Linked DNA regions of Sus scrofa. The protein of the gene in region 1 interacts with the protein of each later gene in a biochemical or structural test. Links are inferred from orthologs where the notes say so. Each region holds a gene or a part of one and is shown in the gene's direction. Other genes may lie near its edges.

Region 1 (3,646 bases):
GAAGGCATAAAAGAGTGATAGCACTTTAATATCTTTCTGCCTTATTCTCTGCATTTAAAATATGTGCATATTTTAAATTTTAAAAAGTATCAGACAACTATATCACTAGAGATCATACTCCATCAAGTTGAATAATGTCATTATTTTATTATTAATATATACATTAATATCAGTGTTTACCTAATGATTGACATTTAGGCCTTTTGGAGTAATATTTTTTTACTTCTTTTGAATTGCACTTAATGTTTTTTTTTTCACAATAATTTGTTTTTCACAATTTTTCAACAAATAGTTGTATTTTGCTTCCTTTTTTCCTGTTTCCTTATTATAGTACTTGAGTCATTATAATAATCTTTACATTTTAATTACTTTGATATGGATCATTTATAGCTGGTAAATTCCAGCTATGCTTTTTACAGTATTTTTGATAATTTTAAATAAATTTTCCCAAATAAGGTTACCTGGTTCAGAGGGTGTGACTATATGTGTAGTTTTGTTAGTATATATTTCAGTATCATCCCCTAAGTATTCAATTTAAAGGTGGTGGGCTTTTTATGTGTTTCTTGGTTTGTTTTTTGTTTTGTTTTTTCTTCATTCTCTTGTTAGGATTATTTTCATAAATTTATTTTCGTAAAGGTCTCTCGGCAAGTACAGTTGTTTGGGTAATTCTTTCTATTTGAGATCAGTGTTTGGAAAACTTTTTCATAGGCCTTCAAAATGTAAATACTTTTGTTTTTGTGGGTTATATAGTCTCATGGTGACTCAATTTCTGCTTTGGTAGTATACAGTCAGCCGTAATCAATATATTAACGCTTAAGCAGTTCCTTTGAAACTATTTACAGAAGTTGGCAGAAGACTTGTTTGGCCTGTGGGTCATCATTTGCCAAGCCCATTTTAGATTGATCTCTACATCTTTATTATATTTTATGTACACTTGCCCAAATGCTCAGTTATTAAACACTAAAATGACATTGAAGAAGTTTTGTAAGCCGTTAAGTTTAAGTTGTGGACTAATGGAACTGGTGGTGTAGTGTAGGTGTTTGTGGAAGGACTTAATAACTGAATGTAACAGAAAAAACCTTTTTTATTTATGTATCTCATATAGGATACTTTATTCTAAAATTGTCAAATTTTATCTCAACACGAAATACTTAAATACTAATTGGAACATTTTCCTAAATGAAGCAAATGTTTATTTAAACTATAAACACAGTGTATAAATTTCTCTCTAGTTTTACTCCTAAAAAAGAAGAGGAAGAAAACCAACCAGCAAAAAAAACATATACTTGGAATACAAAGGAGGAAGCAAAGCAAGCATTTAAAGAATTACTGAAAGAAAAGGTACTTATGTTACATATTTTTATATGACACATAATAAATATCTAATAAGTGAAATTATTCTTTAATGCAATTGGTACCTTATTGCTTTTATTAATTAAAATACTGGAGTTCCCATTGTGGTGCAATGGTTAACGAATCCGACTAGGAAGCATGAAGTTGCGGGTTTAATCCCTGACCCTGTTCAGTGGGTTAAGGATCTGACATTGCTGTGAGCTGTGGTGTAGGTTGCAGACGTGGCTAGGATCTGGTTTTGCTATGGCTCTGGCATAGGCCAATGGCTATAGCTCTGATTCAACTCCTAGCCTGGGAACCTCCAGGTGCCGCAGGTGTGGCCCTAGAAAAGACAAGATAAAAAGTTAAAATTAAATACTAATCTTACGGTTTCCCATTGTGGCTGAGCAGGTTAAGAACCTGACTAGTATCCCTGAGGATCCCTGGCCTTGTTCAGTGAGTTAAGGATCCAGCATTAGTGGCAGCTGCAGCTCCCATTCATCCCCTAGCCTGGAAACTTTCATATGCCAAGGGTTCGGCACTAAAAAGACAAAAAAAAAATCTAATCTTAGAAACTGTTGAGATTGAAAATGAACTATATTTGTCCTTTTTTTATTGTACTTTTTTTGTGAAACTGATTTTCACCCCCCCCCATTCCTGCAGATATGTACAGAGTACTACCATACAGTCCACCTCAGTGTTTAATAAAAGGTGTTTTATTCGTAATGTATTGATGGTCTGTTTAAATTTTGGTTTCGGTTTTTCTTGTTTTTCTTTTTCTGGGTGCACCTGTGGCATACGGAAGTTTCCAGGCTAGGGATTGAATTGGAGCTGCAACTGAGGCCTGTGCCACAGCTATGGCAACACCCAATCCAAGCTCAAACTCCTGCAAAGGGAATTACTTGACGTTTGCAGTGAATATTATACTTTGTTCTCTGTTGTATGACTTTCACTATATTTGTATGTAATTTTAATTTTCCATTAAATGATTTTCAGCGGGTACCATCAAATGCTTCATGGGAACAAGCTATGAAAATGATTATTAATGACCCACGATACAGGTAATATTTTGGTTTTTTAAATTTACTTGTCACTTTGAGCAGAGTAAGCCTAGAAAATGCAAATTGTGTAAAATAATATAACTTTTCATCCTCATGGTCTTCAGTTATTTTGGACACCAGTAGTAGAGTTGCTTGATGGCTGATAAGAACCAAAACAGCTAAAAGGCATGTCATACAATTTACCCTGCTACAGATGTTAGTAGAAATATTTTTTAAGTAGAAATTATGTTCTGTAATGATTTATCTTTAATAACTTCTTAAGTATTCTTAATTTGTGAATGAAATCTGTTGTTTTTTCAAAGCACTAATGTTTGATCATCTTAACCTTCATTTATTCTTACATTGTATTTTTCTATTTAGTGCTTTAGCAAAGTTGAGTGAAAAGAAGCAGGCCTTTAATGCTTATAAAGTCCAGACAGAAAAAGAAGAAAAAGAAGAAGCAAGATCCAAATACAAAGAGGCTAAGGAATCCTTTCAACGTTTTCTTGAAAATCATGAGAAAATGACTTCTACAACTAGATACAAGTAAGATTTTTGGTGATCATGGTATATGTTTACTGTTTCTGCATTAGACTTTCTGCCAAGTGCAGTAACTAATCCAGAGTAGATGCTGATTATGTAAAGCTAAATCCAGATCATGAATATGACACTTTTGTAAGGTGGAAGATAGGTCAGTAGTTAATAGACTGAGTTATTTATTTGGGACTAGAACAAAAAGGCAAGAAAAACTTTAATAATGAAGCCTTGTGAGAGTTCCTGTCATGGCTCAGCAGTAAGAATCTGACTAGTATCCAAGAGGATGTCAGTTCTATCCCTGGCCTTGCTCAGTGGGTTAAGGATCTGGTGTTGCCGTGAGCTGTGGTTTAGGTTGCAGACACAGCTTGGATCCCACATTTGACTCCTAGCCTGGGAACTTATTTATGCCATGGGTGCAGCCCTAAAAAGACCCCCCCCCCCAAGAAAAAATTGAAGGCTTCTCTTTGTCTTTAATATAAAAATTTTAATTTTTATGTTTGTGGAATAGAAATATACTATTTTTATTAAGTATAGCATATTTGAAAACTTGTATTTATATAGCATTCTTCATTTTTGGAGTGGTTTATTATTTAAAACTGTGGGTAATTGAGTATTAACATTATTTGCGATAGCTATTATGTTCATTTTCCCTGTATGTTTTTTATTTACCTCACATCTTCCAGAAAAACCTTAGTGAAAAACTGAAAGTCTGTAAATTAGTTCCATGGGCAGTCTTG
Region 2 (3,646 bases), on another chromosome or scaffold:
TGTGTCCGGACAGACGGTCAAGTTGAGAAGCGTGTTGATGTGCATCTGAGGGGTGGGGCAGCATAGCTGGGTGTTGGTGTTTCGAACCAAGGAAATAGAGTGCCGCGTGGCCCTGGAACTGCCCCTCTTTCAGGAGTGAAAGGTCTGCTGGGAGCCAAGGGTTCTGTGGTTCTGCTGGGCAGGGAGGCAGAATCTGCCCCCAAGGGGAGGGGAGGGGGTAGAAGGAGCCAGCTAGCGGCCCGTGGGGAGCTCCGAGAAAGCGTCCACCCTGGTTTCTCCTGTCCCTGGCTCTGAGGACCTGTGGGTCTGGGGGGCCTGGGTGGGTCACCTCCCCTTCAGCCCGGATTCTGGAAGGGGCGCCTCCCTGGAGGAGGGCGTCCTGCACTCTTCGCCTGGTGGGGAAGGGCTGGGGCGGGGTGGGTTCCGCTGCTTCCCAGGCATCTCTGAGCCTGCCTGGCATCTGACTTGGGGCCTGGGCGTGGGGCTGTGGGGGCCAGCTGGTTGAGGAGGTCTCTCCTGAGGGGCTGCTGGGTCCCTGCAGGAAAACATCATTGGGTCTCTTGATTCCCCAGCCTCTAGCCCTGCCCCTCTCAGGGACGACCCTGGGGTCAGGCCCCTCAGCCCTGGAGGGGGACCAGGAGCCAGCCTCCTCTGTCTTCTCTGGCTCCCCAGCTCCTCCTGAGCATCCTCAGGTACCTTACACCCCGGGGCATCTCCAGGCCCTGCCCCTCAGGTAACCAGCTCCCGCCCTTGGCGCCCCAGGGTCCTGGACGCCTGTGGACCCAGGAAGCCTGCCGTCCCTTCCCCGTGGGGGGTGGCCTCCCTGGGGCTGGGCCGTAGGTGACAGTGAGCGGGTGGGCCGGGCCGCAGCCTCCCTCAGCTCACCTTCCCCGCCCCTGCCCAGAGCGGGACAAGGAGAACCGGCACCGCAAGCGCAGCCACAGCCGCTCCAGAAGCCGGGACCGCAAGCGCCGCAGCCGGAGCCGGGACCGGCGCAACCGGGACCAGCGGAGCGCCTCCCGCGACAGGCGGCGGCGAAGGTACCGGCGGGGTCACTCTCGTCCCGGGGGCTCTGCGGCTTGTCTTTCTGGAGCTCGGGGTTCCCTGGCCTGGGCTTTCTCGGGTTTCCGGTGGGTCGTTGGTGCAGCAGCGGGCGCTCGGGTGTGGCTCGGGCTCCCTCCCGCAGGGGCTCCGTTGTCCTGCCTCTTCCCCTGCCTGGTCCTTGGGGGCCGTCCCGGGACCAGGGGGTTCTTGGAGCCCATCTCTGCCCCGCCCGCCCGGGCGGCTCTTCTCTCTTCTAACGCCTCTTCCCTCCCCTCCCTTGGCTCCTCTGTTCTCTCTGCCCCTCAGGTGAGGAAGGGCGGGACAGGCGAGGTTCTCCTGCCTCCTCCCACCTCAGGCTCCAGCTAGAGAGTGGTCTGTCGGGCCCTGCCTCCCTTCCTCTGGCCTGGGCGGGGGGCTGGGGGGAGACGCGGGGCCGAGGGGGCCTGCTTGCCTGGGGTTCACCTCGGCCCTGTCCCAGCCCTGGGGCTCAGTGCCCTGGGGGGTGGGGTGGTGAGTGGGGAAGACGAGGGTCCCCAGTCACCCCTCCCCATGCGTTTCCCTCCCACCCCCCAGCAAACCTTTGACCAGAGGCGCTAAAGAGGAGCACGGTGGATTGATGTGAGCTTCTCTTCCTGCCCCTTCCACCCCACGTCCAGTCCCCCACCTCCCTCTGGCCCACCTGCCCCGTCCCTGTCCAGCCCCGGCCCGAGCCCTGGGGAGAGAGTTCCCCCCGCCTTGGAACGGCCCCGTCCCGGATCCTCTCCCTCCTGGAGAGACCGCTGGGGTGGGGGGCAAGGGGCGCCTGGGGGACCCGCAGGCCCACCCTTGGTCAGACTGAGGTTGCCCCGCCCCGCTCTCCCTCGCCCTCCCCCAGCCGGTCCCCCCGTCATGAGAAGAAGAAGAAGGTCCGCAAGTACTGGGACGTGCCGCCGCCAGGCTTCGAGCACATCACCCCCATGCAGTACAAGGCCATGCAAGGTGGGCGCCTCTCTTTGGGGGCGGGGGGCTTTCGGGCCTCTGCCTTTGGAGTCCTTGGCGCGGTGGGGCCAGCGGGGAGCCGCCGAGGGCTGCGCTCCGTTGAGGTCCGTTGAGGAGCGTGCTGCTGCCCTGCGCGTCCACGGGCACCCTGCCATCCTCTGGTTCTCTTCTTTCCTCTCGAAGCTGCGGGTCAGATTCCAGCCACCGCCCTCCTCCCCACCATGACCCCTGATGGTCTGGCCGTGACCCCAACGCCCGTGCCTGTGGTCGGGAGCCAGATGACCAGGCAGGCCCGCCGTCTCTACGTGGGCAACATCCCCTTTGGCATCACTGAGGTACTGCCCTCCCCCTGCCCTGCCTCTCCCTGTCCCCCCTGTTCCTCCCCTCCCTCCCCTCCCTCCCCCAACCTGCACGGGTCAGACTCTGTTCCTGCAAGACCCCCCGGCCCCCTCCCAGACGGACGATGGAGTTGAGCCAGCCAGGGGCCGGGCTGGGGGTGGCCCGCTCCCTCCCTCCTCTCCCCTCCCGTCTCCCCTCCCCGCCTCCTCCAGCACCCAGGGATCAAGCACACACGTACCGTACCTACGCATCCACGGATCCGAATCCGTATGGAGAGACAGAGAGGGAGACTCGGACACACACACACACTCACACACACTCACGCTCACACTGACGCTCGCTCCCCTCCAGTTTCTCTGACACACCTCTTGTTCTCTGCCGCCTGTCCCGTCCTCTCCCCACACTCTCGTTTTTGATCGCCCTGAACTCCCCACCTTCCCCACCGCTCCTCTCCCATCCCCTCTCCCCCACCCCTTCCCGTGGCACCCCTGAGAATCCCGAGATCAAAGAGTTGTTTCCATTTCTCTTTAAAGTGAAATATTGTGGGGCTGAGATCCCTCGTAGCAACAAAAAGTTTGCTACCGTCGTTGAAGGCAAGTAAGGTCCATTCTGACTTTCTCAACCTGCACTTTGCTACATTTGATGAACCAGCCCCCGGACTCCAGGGCCAGATCCCTCCACATCACTCTTTTCTCCTCCCCTCCCTCCCCCCGCCCCTCCGCCCTCCCCGCCCTCCGCCCCCTCTGCCTCGGGTTTCTCTGTCCTGCCTGCTCTCGCTGCCCTCCCACTGTGCTGCCGTTTTCCTCTTGCTGTCACCTCGACGTCTGGTTTGTCGACTCACGTGTTTCTTCTCCTCGCTCTCTCTTGTTTCCTGACTCTTGGACGATCTCTCGCCTTTCCCCTGGTTGGGGCCCGTGGCTCTCCCCGACCTCCTGTCCTGCCTCCTGGACCCTGGCTGTCTCCTGCTGCCCCCCCCCCCCCCCCCGTTTCTCTCATCTTTCTTCTGCTTTTGTTCCTGCTGTGGTCTCTGTGCCCCGACCCCTACTCCATTGTTCCTTCCCTCCCACCCTGCCCTCGTCCCTCTCCCCTGACCCCCAAACCCCTCTGTGTCTCCCTCTCTCACCCTTCCCCTCCTCTCTCCACCTCCCCCCCGCCCCCCCTGTCTCCTCTTCCCTCTGCAGGAGGCCATGATGGATTTCTTCAACGCCCAGATGCGCCTGGGGGGGCTGACCCAGGCCCCCGGCAACCCCGTCTTGGCGGTGCAGATTAACCAGGACAAGAACTT

Evidence for each region. The genes of interacting proteins can lie anywhere in the genome.
Region 2: the proteins of PRPF40A (region 1) and U2AF2 form a complex in vitro, tested with the Homo sapiens proteins (2 studies listed by BioGRID). The link is inferred for Sus scrofa from reciprocal best matches to the Homo sapiens genes PRPF40A and U2AF2.

The regions. Positions count from the first base shown.
Region 1 is NC_010457.5:60,404,825-60,408,470, reverse strand, and holds part of PRPF40A (pre-mRNA-processing factor 40 homolog A), read left to right. Parts: intron 1-1,232; coding exon 1,233-1,341; intron 1,342-2,328; coding exon 2,329-2,393; intron 2,394-2,753; coding exon 2,754-2,918; intron 2,919-3,646.
Region 2 is NC_010448.4:59,777,046-59,780,691, forward strand, and holds part of U2AF2 (U2 small nuclear RNA auxiliary factor 2), read left to right. Parts: intron 1-904; coding exon 905-1,040; intron 1,041-1,617; coding exon 1,618-1,662; intron 1,663-1,918; coding exon 1,919-2,022; intron 2,023-2,205; coding exon 2,206-2,357; intron 2,358-3,542; coding exon 3,543-3,646. UniProt on the Homo sapiens protein: Plays a role in pre-mRNA splicing and 3'-end processing. By recruiting PRPF19 and the PRP19C/Prp19 complex/NTC/Nineteen complex to the RNA polymerase II C-terminal domain (CTD), and thereby pre-mRNA, may couple transcription to splicing.